2 linked regions of the Caenorhabditis elegans genome follow. The protein of the gene in region 1 purifies or fractionates together with the protein of each later gene. This does not show direct contact. Each region holds a gene or a part of one and is shown on either strand. Other genes may lie near its edges.

Region 1 (4,876 bases):
GAAAAGTTTTTCAGAAACATTTTTGAGAAATTTCGTCCAGTTTCAATATATTTTAGTCAAGAACACACACCATCTACTTTTTTAAACATAGAAAATTCTAACTTTGAGAAATGGAAAATTTAGAGAAGTTGGTCAAATGTGTATTTCTAAATTATTTTTTTTAATGTTCGAATTTGACAAACAGGTCTTCATTTAGCAAACTACCAGCAGACTGTCAGTTAAAAAATGATATGAAAATTTTCTTAAAGCATTTTTCTATCGGCTTATGTTTTTTAAAGAACTAAATTTATCCAGAAGCCCCGTTACAAAAGCTTGAGAAAACAAAACAACATAAATCGATACACAAAATAGTCAGCCGAAAGACAAGAAAGTCATGACGCGTGGGACCGTATAGCATATTGATTCGAACCAAAAACTTGATAAAGAGTTGGAAAAGAAAGTGCCAAAGAGTGGAAGAGAAAGAGATTGCATTGTGTATGCATACATTTGGTGGTTCTACAATGCTCTTTGTTCACCTGCAACGACACATTCATGTGGAGGCACTACTAGATGGTTATGAAAAAATAAATGGCATTTTATTCAATAAATTGCTTTATAACAAAAAAAATGCTCATAACAATTGGAAACCGGATTATTAATTATCACCTATGACCCTGAAAAGAAATCACACAAATTGAGCTTTTTTACATATTATCCAATGTATGGAATCGTTTCATGTCGCTTTGCTTCGTTTTTGTTGATATTTCGAAAGAACTGCTTCCCGCGCTGGTTTTCTGAAAAATATAAGATTTTAAAAATTTATTTTTGTAACTAAAATTTCAATAAAACTGTACAATTTGAGCCTTTATCCGTCTTGCCCTCTTCTGTTCATCCTGAAAACCTTCCTTCAGTTGTTCTGTCACGAATAATACAATTTTCGTCCATCCTCTTTGAGTTGTCTGGAACAAATTATATTTGTCTGAATGCAGTTTCTATTAGGTTAACCTCTGTTCGATCTTTCTTTTCTCCCCATTCCAAAGTTCTTTCAATCATTGCAGTTGCAAACTGGTCAAGAAGATGTGCGTGGAATGGGCAGCCGTCTGAAACAGGAGGGAATTGGTAAAATATGATTGAAAATATTTCTGGGGGTTTTTTAATGCAGTGATTCATTTTTATATGCTTTTTCTAACCGTACAACTAATAAAGCTCGACCTAATAAAGCTGAAACTTCCCGAGTTGGGCAAATTTGTCCAACTTGCCGAGCTCAAAAAATGGCAAATTCGGGGAAATTGCCGCACACGATGCTCTTGTAAATCGATTCTGATCGACGTCAAAGTCAGTCCAATAGACGTCGAATTATGTCGAAGCTGGGTGTACCTGCGTCGTTTTAACTGACTTGGACATCGATCAGCATCGATTTATCAGAGCTGGTTCAAATCAAGAATTATCGGAAAATGGATCCGGAGTATCTGGAGTATAATTTTTTAGACATTCAATTAAATTTATTTATTTATAGATTTCTGTCAAATGTGATCAGATCAAAGCGCAGAATGTTTCAAAACTCACATTGATTTCTTGTTGGCCAAACATGTTTCTCACCAGCCTCTCGGAGTCCAGCTACTGTAGCTGACGGTGAATCAAGATTTGCAATTAGGTCATCCATAAGTACAGTAAATAGTTGAGCATGTTTCTTTAACCTTTCATGTCCTTCATTTTTAGTTCCAAACATTATCATTTGCCGAATTTCGGGATTTTTGAAAAACGAGTTTCGAAAGATACTGATCGCTGGTTCCAGGGCGCCTTGATTTCTTGCATGATTCCAAGTTTTCCTCACAAACAATATTTGAGGCTGCGTAAGGTGAAGAAATTGATGAATGCATGGGAACATTGTTGCTAAAATTTGTATCTCATGAATCATTCTAACTGACAAATATTTTTATCTTACGATTTGAGCTAGTCGATGGAGTTGTCTCCTTTGTCTCACTCCGAACACCTGGTCTGGTAAACTTCAAGGAGCTACTCTTTTGCATATTCGCATGATCTGGAGCATGCTCTGTCCCGCTGCTGACTGTACGTTTCACAGATATACTGGAAAAGAGATGTTTTGATAAAAAGGATAAATGTGATAAAACCCACTGGCTTCGAGGTGTGACTGCTTCAAGTAAATCCGAATTTGTTGAATCCACTGATCGCCGATTGCCTGGAGAGCCCAAATTCTGACGTGGACAGCCTGAAGATACTTTTTGTTGAATCTATGGATTTCAGATTTGGGATTTTGAGCATATTGAGGACTAGACATTTTTCCCCGGGTCTTCTGGCGCTCGCGCAGCGCCCGTGTGCATTTACCGTTTTTGTTATTTGTTTTGTGCCTTCCACATAAAAATTCGATCGTCTTTATTATATTTGGAGCAGTTGCTTTAAAAACTACATAGTTCAACCAAAATATATTTTCAAAGTGAGAAAACGGTCATTAGAAAAACAGATTATTCCGTATAAAAACTCTTACCTGTAGCCAAAGGTGATTGTTTTGAAGTCCGTGTCGAACAGAAAACCTCATCGTCTGAATTATTGTATTCATCAGTTAGACAAATTGGCGGAACGTCTTTTCCTGAAAATATATTTAATTTCAATAGTTTTTATTGGCAGTTTTACCTGGAAAATTTCGATATTTTCCTGGAGCGGATACTGGGCAGACTGCCGGAGGTGAGGATGATTGGGAATCAGAGAAAAATCTCTCTGAAAAAAGAAGTTTATTTTTCATAATTCTAGACTAACACTCACCATGAGAAGAAATCGCTGAAGCTGATCTTGGAATGACGTCACTGGTGACCCTACTTGAATTATGATGAGCTGACTTTGAATGAGATACCCGTGTGGTACCGTGTGTTGATTTAGTTGATTGGTTACCCATGTTTTGTGATTTTAAAGTCTCTGGAATGTTAACTTTGTGAAAATTTGAAAGAAAATAGAAAATATTTAAATCTCAAATTGACAATGATGGTGGCGAAAAAGTTGAAGGATGTTATTCTGAAGAGACGAGATACGCCAATGAACAGAGAGATAGAATGCGCGGTTGAGTGAGTGAGAATGGCTCATTTGATGACGTATTTTGACTAGGGTTAGAAGACTACAAAAGGACCATAAAGCGAAAGAAATAAAGAGTGAGAGAGAAAAAGAGATAAAGTCTCCGAATTGAAGAGTGAACGAGTAAAAATATGGAAAATTGGATAGACGTAGAGATATTTACAGAAAAAAAAGAAGAAGTAACCGAGTTGAAAGAACCGGAAAGTGAAGGGTTGCACAATGGATTGAGCAGCAGTGACTACTTTTATAGCTAAGGACTCTAGAATTCAAGAAAATAATGTTTCGGTAGTCACAATGTCTCGAAGCGATATTTCAAATTTGTCATAGCAAGCTCAACCAGCTCAACCCCCCTCATTATAATGTTTTCTCAAAACTTTTGAGAAATTTTTTATGTACACATGTGGTTTTTTTTGGATTTTCCTACAGTTTGGTTTTTTAGTAGAAATGCACTTAACGTACTATAACTTTTTCTCTGTTTCAGGTTTAGGAGTTTGAGCTTCAGCGAATTGTATAATCTAGTAGCTATATAAATTGAACTCCACGCTTCGTTTTAGCTATCACGTATACGTTTGAAAATGTGAGTTTTTGCCATATCTTACGCGCAAAGGTCTCACCACGCGGAAAACGAGTTACTGAAAGAAGTTTATCGGCATGATCTACAGTAAGTCGTTGACCGCGTGGCGAAACCTGGCGAGACCGAAAATGCTCATATTTAAACGTCTGAATAATATGATTTTTGGAAAAATGCATATATTATGGGGTTTCGCTAATAGATTTTGTGTTCTAGAACCGCTTGGGAAGTTTGAAAAACGCTAAACCCCTGTTGGTAAGTCTTTTGGCAAGGGGTTTTATAGCTCAAAACTTGTTATCCTTTTTATATTATTAGGACACCTGATCAGTACACTAAACCTTTTCAAGTAGGAATCGGTAACTTTCTTCGCTGTCAATGCACCGTTAAAGAAAAGAAAAATAATAAAACCTTCCTCGACTTGTGAGCTTAAACTTAATAGGATCTTGTGCAAAAACACTTCAGCTCGGATAGTAAAAAATGTCAAAAACAAATAGCATCACAAGATGGCACTTGTCAAAAAAGTATACCCCGAACAATATCACATGATGAACTTCGCAAATCGGAAATTTCCAATTGTAAGCGTCGTTTCCGAATAAAGACGACGAGACACTGCAAGCGAATTTCCGATTTTCCGTAGACTAGACAAGACGAGTCAGGGCAGATAAAAACCCGAAATCTTCAGACATTTGCAGAGTTTGAAAAGGAGGTGAAGCTACTAGTAAATTGGAATTAAACGGAGCAGAAACAGACAACGAAGACTACGTCGTCGTCACAACGATGGCGATGAAAGGAGATGCAGCAGGGAATGGAGAAAAAGAAGACGTAACACCACACTAAACAACGACACACACACACAAGACCGACGGGCCTATTTTATTTATCCTGAAAGACATAGGGCGGGCAAAAGAACGACTTTTTTGAAAGAGAAGACGAGAGGACCCTTTCGAGTAATTGAGCAGACAAGAGGAGCAGCAGGAGCCTGTCTGTTTTTCGGAAATTATCAAGCCTTGAAAGTGAGCGTAAGGAGAGAAGAAGATTAGGTGGGGGAAATGTGCAGGCCAACGAGTTAATTTCGCCTCTTTTTTCTGTGAGAGAAGGTTTTCTCTAGGGTGATATCAATATACATCTGAGCTCGATTGGTTGGTTTCTTTTATATTAGGGATGGCGGGGAAAGAAATCTTCTAGATCAAATAAAAACTAAATAATTTAAATATGAGTCACAATTGGCTTTGGATGTTTGAG
Region 2 (7,312 bases), on another chromosome or scaffold:
TTTTTTCAAATTTTAAGGAGTAGAGTCAGTGAGGAAATTTCTTTAACACACGCTACAGTGACCAAATGTTATGGTAATTTTTTAAAGTTTCAATTGATTTTTTGATTTTTTGAAAATTGGAAAAAAAATTAGAAAATTTTTTTGAAACTTTCTTTTATGATATTTGTCCATTGTGGTACCGTAGGCGTGTTTTTTTTTTAAATTTTTCCACTAGCTCTATTCATGTTTTAAATTGATTTATTTTTGATAACTAGACACAAATGACATGACGGATAAGAAATCAAATCTTTGTGCTCTCTCCCCGGCCCTTACGTTTTCTTCCTTCTCAATCCAAAATGCGTTTTGGCACGTCGAAAACATTGAGCAGTTGGAGAAACGAGGGGCAAGGCAGAAGGGCCGCGCTTTCGTTTTTTTTGCGTTGTCTTCTCTCGATCTCTTTCTCCGTGTTACGCATATTCTCTCGCACTTTGCTTCTGGCTGCTTAGTTTTTTTCCCTTGCTGAAGGCTGAAAAAGTGAAGAAGAAGAAAACACACCAATCATTCATTCAATCCAGTCGATTTGATAGGAAAATGTAATTCACAATTTTGGTTTTCATGTTTTGTTTCTGTTGTATAAATACATTCAGTTGTCTGGGTCCCCTGCGTCAAGATCAAAAGTGCATCCCCCCTCTAGGGGCTTCTTTCGTGTATTGCATCATGTGTACTTGCCATAGCATATTTCAAAGTCGAAACCTTTTATTTTTGGCTTTTTTCTACTTTTCTTTTTTCCCATGCGTTCGTCACACTCATTATTTACTCTGCATCTTTTCTCTCTCCATTTCAATCACTATCACTTCTCACTTGGCATCATTCATTGTTTTCTTATACCAAAGGAACTAAATAAAACGTTTGTTTGTTGAAGTTTCGGTATTATTTTGAACGTTTAAACTTAATATCTACTCAAATGGATTAAACTAATTCAATAAACTTTTATGGCGGTTCAAAATTTCGAAAAAACATGGCCTAATTTTAGTTAAAATCTTCAATTTTGGCAATACTTTTTTTTTGATTTTTCAATCCTCTGTTGCATATTTGGTCGTTCATCTCTTGTTTTTTTTTTGATTATAGTACAGTTAAAGCCGATAGGTGACCTATTTTTTTTTATTTTAGGTTACCTATCAGCTGTAAATTACGTATTTCCTCTAATAGTATATCATCCAATTACTTTACTCCAAAAGGATATATCTATGTTCGTTTAAAAAATATCAATAAACTGTCAACTGCAAATATATAGAAAAAAATAAAAATAAGTGTTTTTTCAGTTGATCAGTTTTCAATAAAACAAACGCCAACTGAGATTTAAGCTGTCAAAGTTGAGTAATGGAGTGCAATGTATACTACATTAGAAAAAATACGATGTATCCTAATTAACGAAATGAAGTCAAGCTATGCCATTAAATATAATAATTTGAAAAAAAGTTAATTTCTTCGGACCGATGCAACACGAAAAAATGGACAAAATTAGAGATTTTAGCTGAAATAGGTTTTTTTTTGAATTTTTAAATTTTTAAAATTTCAAACCGACATAAAAAATTTTGAAAAAAATTTGGAAGTTTCATTACAAAATTCATTGAATTTAAAATGTCCAGAACCACTCAATGCTCCTCCTATAAAAATAATAATTAAAAGTTGACCTTCCACAGGGTAATATGACCGCGCGCAGTTGTTTGTTTCTGTGTTTTCCTTGTTGTATCTGCGTCGCGCACTTTCTAACCACAATGGTCCCTGCCACACTGTATTACGCGCATTCATTGTCCGCATCGATTAATCAGTTTTTGCTTGTCAACATTTTTCTCTTGCAGTTCTCAGATTTATCCTTTTCTTCTCAAAATTTTTTCATTCTTCTCATCCCATTTTTCTCATCCTTCGTGTTAAATACTATTGTCATAAATTACAGAATTTTGCATAATTCGAAATGGACGCGGACGCATCAACAATCACGCCAGAAGAGCTCGACTTTATCCGTCAGCGAGCTTTGCGCCGCTTCGACTCAATCGTCCCAACTGCTGGAAGAGAAGGAACTGAGATTGCGTCGGATATTTTCAAGGGACGTACTCTCGCGATTTACACGTCCGGAGGAGACTCTCAAGGTACGAATGAATTAGGGCAAAATTTGAAATTTTGACCTGCCATGAAAATTTTGTGTGGAGTCTCCATATAAAATTCATTTCACTTTTAATAAAATTCAAACTTTTCCTTGTAAGAATACGTTTGAAACTTTATTTTCCAGGTATGAACAGCGCTGTTCGAAGTATCACAAGAATGGCTATATACTGTGGATGTAAAGTGTATTTGATCTACGAAGGATACGAAGGAATGATTGAAGGTGGAGATTTCATCAAGGAAGCCACGTGGAACACCGTTTCCGATATTATTCAGCAAGGAGGAACTATCATTGGTTCCGCAAGATCTTCCGAATTCAGAACTCGTGAAGGGCGTCTCAAGGTGAGAAAATAATTAGCCCAATAAAACAAATTTTTGAAAGTTTTGAAAGTTAAAATTAAATTTCCAGGCAGCCACCAACCTGATTAATCGTGGAATTGGTCGTCTTGTATGCATTGGTGGAGATGGATCTCTCACTGGAGCCAACACTTTCCGTTTGGAGTGGACCGATCTTGTGCAAGAACTTGTGAAAAATCAACGAGTCACTGCGGCGGCTGCGAAAAAGATTCCTTACATTCAAATTGTCGGACTTGTCGGATCCATCGACAACGATTTTTGTGGAACCGACATGACGATTGGAACCGACTCGGCACTTCAAAGAATTATCAGTTCTATTGATGCTGTAGTCGCAACTGCACAAAGTCATCAAAGGGCTTTTGTTATTGAGGTGATCTCAATTTATCAAGAAAATAATTCATATACTTATTTTACTCTAGGTCATGGGTCGCCATTGTGGATATCTGGCTCTAGTTGCTGCTCTAGCTTCCGAAGCCGACTTCTGCTTCATTCCTGAATGGCCGGCACCGGAAAATTGGCGTGACGTCTTGTGCGACAAACTTTCTCAAATGAGATCAGAGGGTCAACGTCTTAACATCATTATTGTCGCCGAGGGAGCTATTGATCGTGATGGAAAGGCTATCACCGCCGAGGATGTGAAGACTGCTGTCAAGGAGAAGCTGAAATACGATACACGCGTTACAATTCTTGGACATGTTCAACGCGGAGGTGCTCCATCTGCTTTTGATCGACTTCTTGGATGTAGAATGGGAGCAGAAGCAGTTTTTGCTCTCATGGAGATGACTGAGGTTTCTGGGATTTTCTGTGAATTTTTCATTAATGGTTTGAACGTATGAACCAATATGTTTTCAAATTAACAAAAATCTTAATTGTAGTTTTTTTCAGTGCCGCAGCGGCCCGAAGTTGGCTTTTTTGGATTATCGAACTTTGTCGTAAATTTTGTTCCTTCATCTCATATTATTTTGATAGTTAAGGTTAGGGCTTCCTTGTGAGAGAGGCGCGGCGTTGGCGCCTCCACGGGCCTCCCGCCGGACCTCCTTCACCGTCTGCCGCTGTTTCGCAGCTTGGCGTGAAAAGAGAAATTTGACGTGTGCGCAACGTAGTTCGCAAAGATGGCAGCGGTCGACACTTTGGGGGTTCCGCGCCGTACTATACCTGTGGCGCGATTTGCGGCGTGAAGCCGGCGCTGACGCCTTACCGGCGCCACATGGAAGCCCTAGTCAAGGTATATTTAAAACCGGTAGGTGACCAAAAAATGTCAAAAATTAGTAAATGCAATAAAAGATAATAATGCGCTCAAAAAATCAATTTCAGGCAGCTTCGACACCGAAAAAAGCTCAGAATTAGAGATTTTAGACTATTTTTTCTAACATTTTGTACAGTCAAAGAAAAAAGTTTGAACATTTTTTGCAAAGCTTCATAACGAAATTTACAAATTTTTTCGTTTATTTGAGCACATTTTGGGTCTACACTTTCACCGTTCAAACCGTTATTCCTGCTTGAAAGAAAAGAAGTATAATTTTTTTTTATTTCAGGAATCAGAACCTTGTGTTATCTCAATTGACGGAAATGTTATGGTCCGTGTGCCACTTCTCAAGTGTGTCGAACGAACTCAAATGGTACAGAAGGCAATGGCGGATAAGGACTGGACCACGGCTGTGATGCTTCGTGGACGCAGTTTCCAGAGAAATCTTGAAACGTACAAGTTGCTGACTAAGATGAGAACCGTCGAAAAGGACAATCTTTCGGAAGGACACAAATTCAATGTTGCTGTAATCAACGTTGGCGCTCCAGCCGGTGGAATGAATGCAGCCGTCCGCTCTTATGTTCGAATGGCTCTCTACCATCAGTGTACCGTGTACGGTATTGAAGACAGTTTTGAGGGACTTGCCAATGGGTCATTCAAACAGTTCAAGTGGTCCGATGTTACTAACTGGGCAATGAACGGAGGATCGTTCCTTGGCACACAGAAAAGTCTTCCAACTGAGAAAACTATGCCTCAACTTGCTGCTCAACTGAAGAAGCACAATATTCAAGCGTTATTGCTTGTTGGAGGATTTGAAGCGTATCACAGCACAATAATTCTTGCTGAAAATCGCGAAAAGTATCCCGAGTTTTGCATTCCAATGTGTGTCATCCCATGCACCATCTCGAACAATGTTCCAGGTTTGTTTTTCATTATATAAGGTTTTTAAACAATACATTTCTAATTTTAGGAACTATGGTGTCTCTCGGATCCGATACCGCGATCAATGAGATTTGCCAGATGATCGACAAAATCAAGCAATCTGCCACTGGTACCAAGAGAAGAGTTTTCATTGTCGAAACAATGGGAGGATACTGTGGTTACCTTGCCACTCTTTCTGCGTTGAGCTCCGGTGCGGATAATGCGTACATTTTTGAAGAGCCATTCACCGTTCAAGACCTCTCCGATGATGTTGATGTGATTCTCTCAAAGATGGAAGTTGGAGCGAAACGCTACTTGGTTGTCAGAAATGAGTGGGCCGACAAGAACCTCACCACAGATTTTGTGCAGAATCTTTTTGATTCTGAAGGAAAGAAGAACTTCACCACAAGAGTCAATGTTCTCGGACATGTTCAACAGGGTGGATCTCCAACGCCGTTCGACAGAAATATGGGAACCAAGCTGGCCGCTCGTGCTTTGGAGTTTTTGCTCATTCAGCTCAAGGAAAATTTGACGGCCGATAACAAGGTGATCGCCAAGTCAGCCCATACTGCGACGCTTCTTGGACTCAAAGGACGAAAGGTGGTGTTCACGCCGGTGCAAGATCTCAAGAAGGAGACCGATTTTGAGCATCGTCTTCCATCAGAGCAATGGTTAGTGGACAAGTAGTTTGTAGAAAAAACTATTCAATCTCTAGACTAAAAATAACATAATGGAATACAGCATGTCTGTATTCTTGTTAAATATCTAAACCATAAGTTTAAGGGCTATATGCAATACTCGTGGAGCACGATTTCCTCTAGCGTTAGAGCGCACTTTCTGACATCTTACAAACTCGCGCGGTAATTTGTTTCTATCAAAAATCAGTTTCTTTGGCTAGTTTTTGGCTCCTTTAGAAGATTTTTTTTCCGATTTATATTATTGTTATGATTTGTTAAACATTTTCGATATACAAATCGAAAGTGTGTAAATTTAGGAAATTTTGGAAACTGTATCATAACAGTCAGTTTTTCGATTTTAGGCCGGTATTTGGTTGATCATTTTGTAGAGAAGATGCATATTCATGAAATCCCTTGATTACTTATTGATTTGATTAGTTCTCAACATTTAAAATTTGAAAAAATCACGTAGATCTTTATAACTGTGTAATTTCAAAAATCATGAAGTTAATCACCGCCGGATATGAATTGTTTATAATTTCTGTGATGACTGTTTAAAAAAAAAACTTTCGTTCTCGGCCGTAAGAGCCCAATTTTACATGTTTGCCATTCGCTTAATGTTCCTCATAGTCAGCAATAATGTAAATTAAAAATTTGACAATAATTTCCGTAGAACCCAAAAAATATGTTTTCAAAAACTGATTTCCTGTGGAAGCTGATTCCCGCGTATTCGAGAATTTGTTAGTTGTTAGTAAGCGCGCTCTAATGACAATGAACGCTCCTGGACACATTCTGCGATAAATTTCAATTTAAAAATTTCAGGTGGATGGCTCTGCGTCCACTTCTCCGTGTTCTCGCTCGTCATCGTTCGACCGTTGAAAGTTCTGCAATTTTGGAATCTGTTGAAGAAGAAAGCGCCGACTCACACATGTTCTGAAAAGTTTTGATGTCTCCATAGCGACTACTTTTTTCTGTCTGTCATAATACTTTTTTTTGTGTGTTACACTTACTCGGTATTGTAAATGTTCTCATGGTCTATATTAAATCTTTGCTCGTCTAAATTGTCTCTTTTTACTAAGCTTCCATAGGTTCTCACAATTTTTTTTCTCGCCATTCTTTGCACAAGTTGATTGAAGTCTTAGCCCCTATTTCTTAGTAGTTGAAAATATGCCATGATGCAAATAAATGAAGTGTTTTAAAATATGTAGTTATTTTAAAAATATGTTTATTCAAAGTATTTTATCATTAGAACTGTTCCTATGAAAAGTTTTTTTTGTTCCAAAGCTACAGAGGTTTAAAAAAAAATCATCTAAAAGTAGACCCGTGAGATGTCCACCGCTATATCTCCAGTCAAACTTCTGTTGAAAATTTTAGGGGATCTGAAAAAGAAATCAGCAATATTGTGAACAACATTTTGATTAATTTCACTATAATATTTGATCTTTTTGGCACTATAAGTATAGACTATTAATTAATCTAAATGATATTTGTATTTGTTACAAAATCAAGACAAGAATCTTTAATACACAGAAATATATTTTATTTCTAAAAAGTATGTACAAAGTCCATATATCACAGTGAGAAACACTTAAATCTTCATTTTCTTGATCCAGTAACCGACGTCTCTGTGATAGTATCGGTCGTTGATTTTTCAGGCTTAGCATCAGCTGCAAAAGCTGGATCATCGAAGCCAGTACTAGCTGATCCACCACCAAACAATCCACCGGCTCCTGGAGAAGCAACTGGCGCAGTTTGCCCTACAGGTGAGTAGTCTGGTCCGACATTTGAACTACCTGCTCCAGGTTGCGGCATAGCTGGAACTGGAGGTGATGCTTGGAACCCGGTCTGTGATCCTCCTTGTTGTCCGAACCCGGATTGGTCTCCCTGGAATTGACCTTGACCTTGGAATCCTCCATTTTGCCCTTGGAATCCGCCAGACTGGCCTTGAAATCCTCCCTGTTGGAACCCG

The links.
Region 2: the proteins of glb-6 (region 1) and pfk-1.1 fractionate together in Caenorhabditis elegans (co-fractionation; one large-scale study listed by BioGRID). This does not show direct contact.

What each region holds. Positions count from the first base shown.
Region 1 is NC_003283.11:5,567,624-5,572,499, forward strand, and holds glb-6 (Globin-like protein 6), read right to left. Parts: upstream 2,911-4,876; 5' UTR 2,891-2,910; coding exon 2,761-2,890; intron 2,716-2,760; coding exon 2,632-2,715; intron 2,588-2,631; coding exon 2,486-2,587; intron 2,210-2,485; coding exon 2,116-2,209; intron 2,068-2,115; coding exon 1,925-2,067; intron 1,873-1,924; coding exon 1,546-1,872; intron 1,080-1,545; coding exon 985-1,079; intron 939-984; coding exon 834-938; intron 774-833; coding exon 684-773; 3' UTR 562-683; downstream 1-561. UniProt on the Caenorhabditis elegans protein: May play a role as physiological sensor for oxygen via redox signaling and/or electron transport.
Region 2 is NC_003284.9:2,938,936-2,946,247, forward strand, and holds pfk-1.1 (ATP-dependent 6-phosphofructokinase 1), read left to right. Parts: upstream 1-1,936; 5' UTR 1,937-1,954; coding exon 1,955-2,129; intron 2,130-2,269; coding exon 2,270-2,484; intron 2,485-2,551; coding exon 2,552-2,869; intron 2,870-2,918; coding exon 2,919-3,287; intron 3,288-4,034; coding exon 4,035-4,665; intron 4,666-4,715; coding exon 4,716-5,337; exon of another isoform or gene 5,338-6,165; coding exon 6,166-6,280; 3' UTR 6,281-6,543; downstream 6,544-7,312. Other genes in the region: Y41G9A.10 (Prion-like-(Q/N-rich)-domain-bearing protein), read right to left, coding at 6,940-7,312. UniProt on the Caenorhabditis elegans protein: Catalyzes the phosphorylation of D-fructose 6-phosphate to fructose 1,6-bisphosphate by ATP, the first committing step of glycolysis.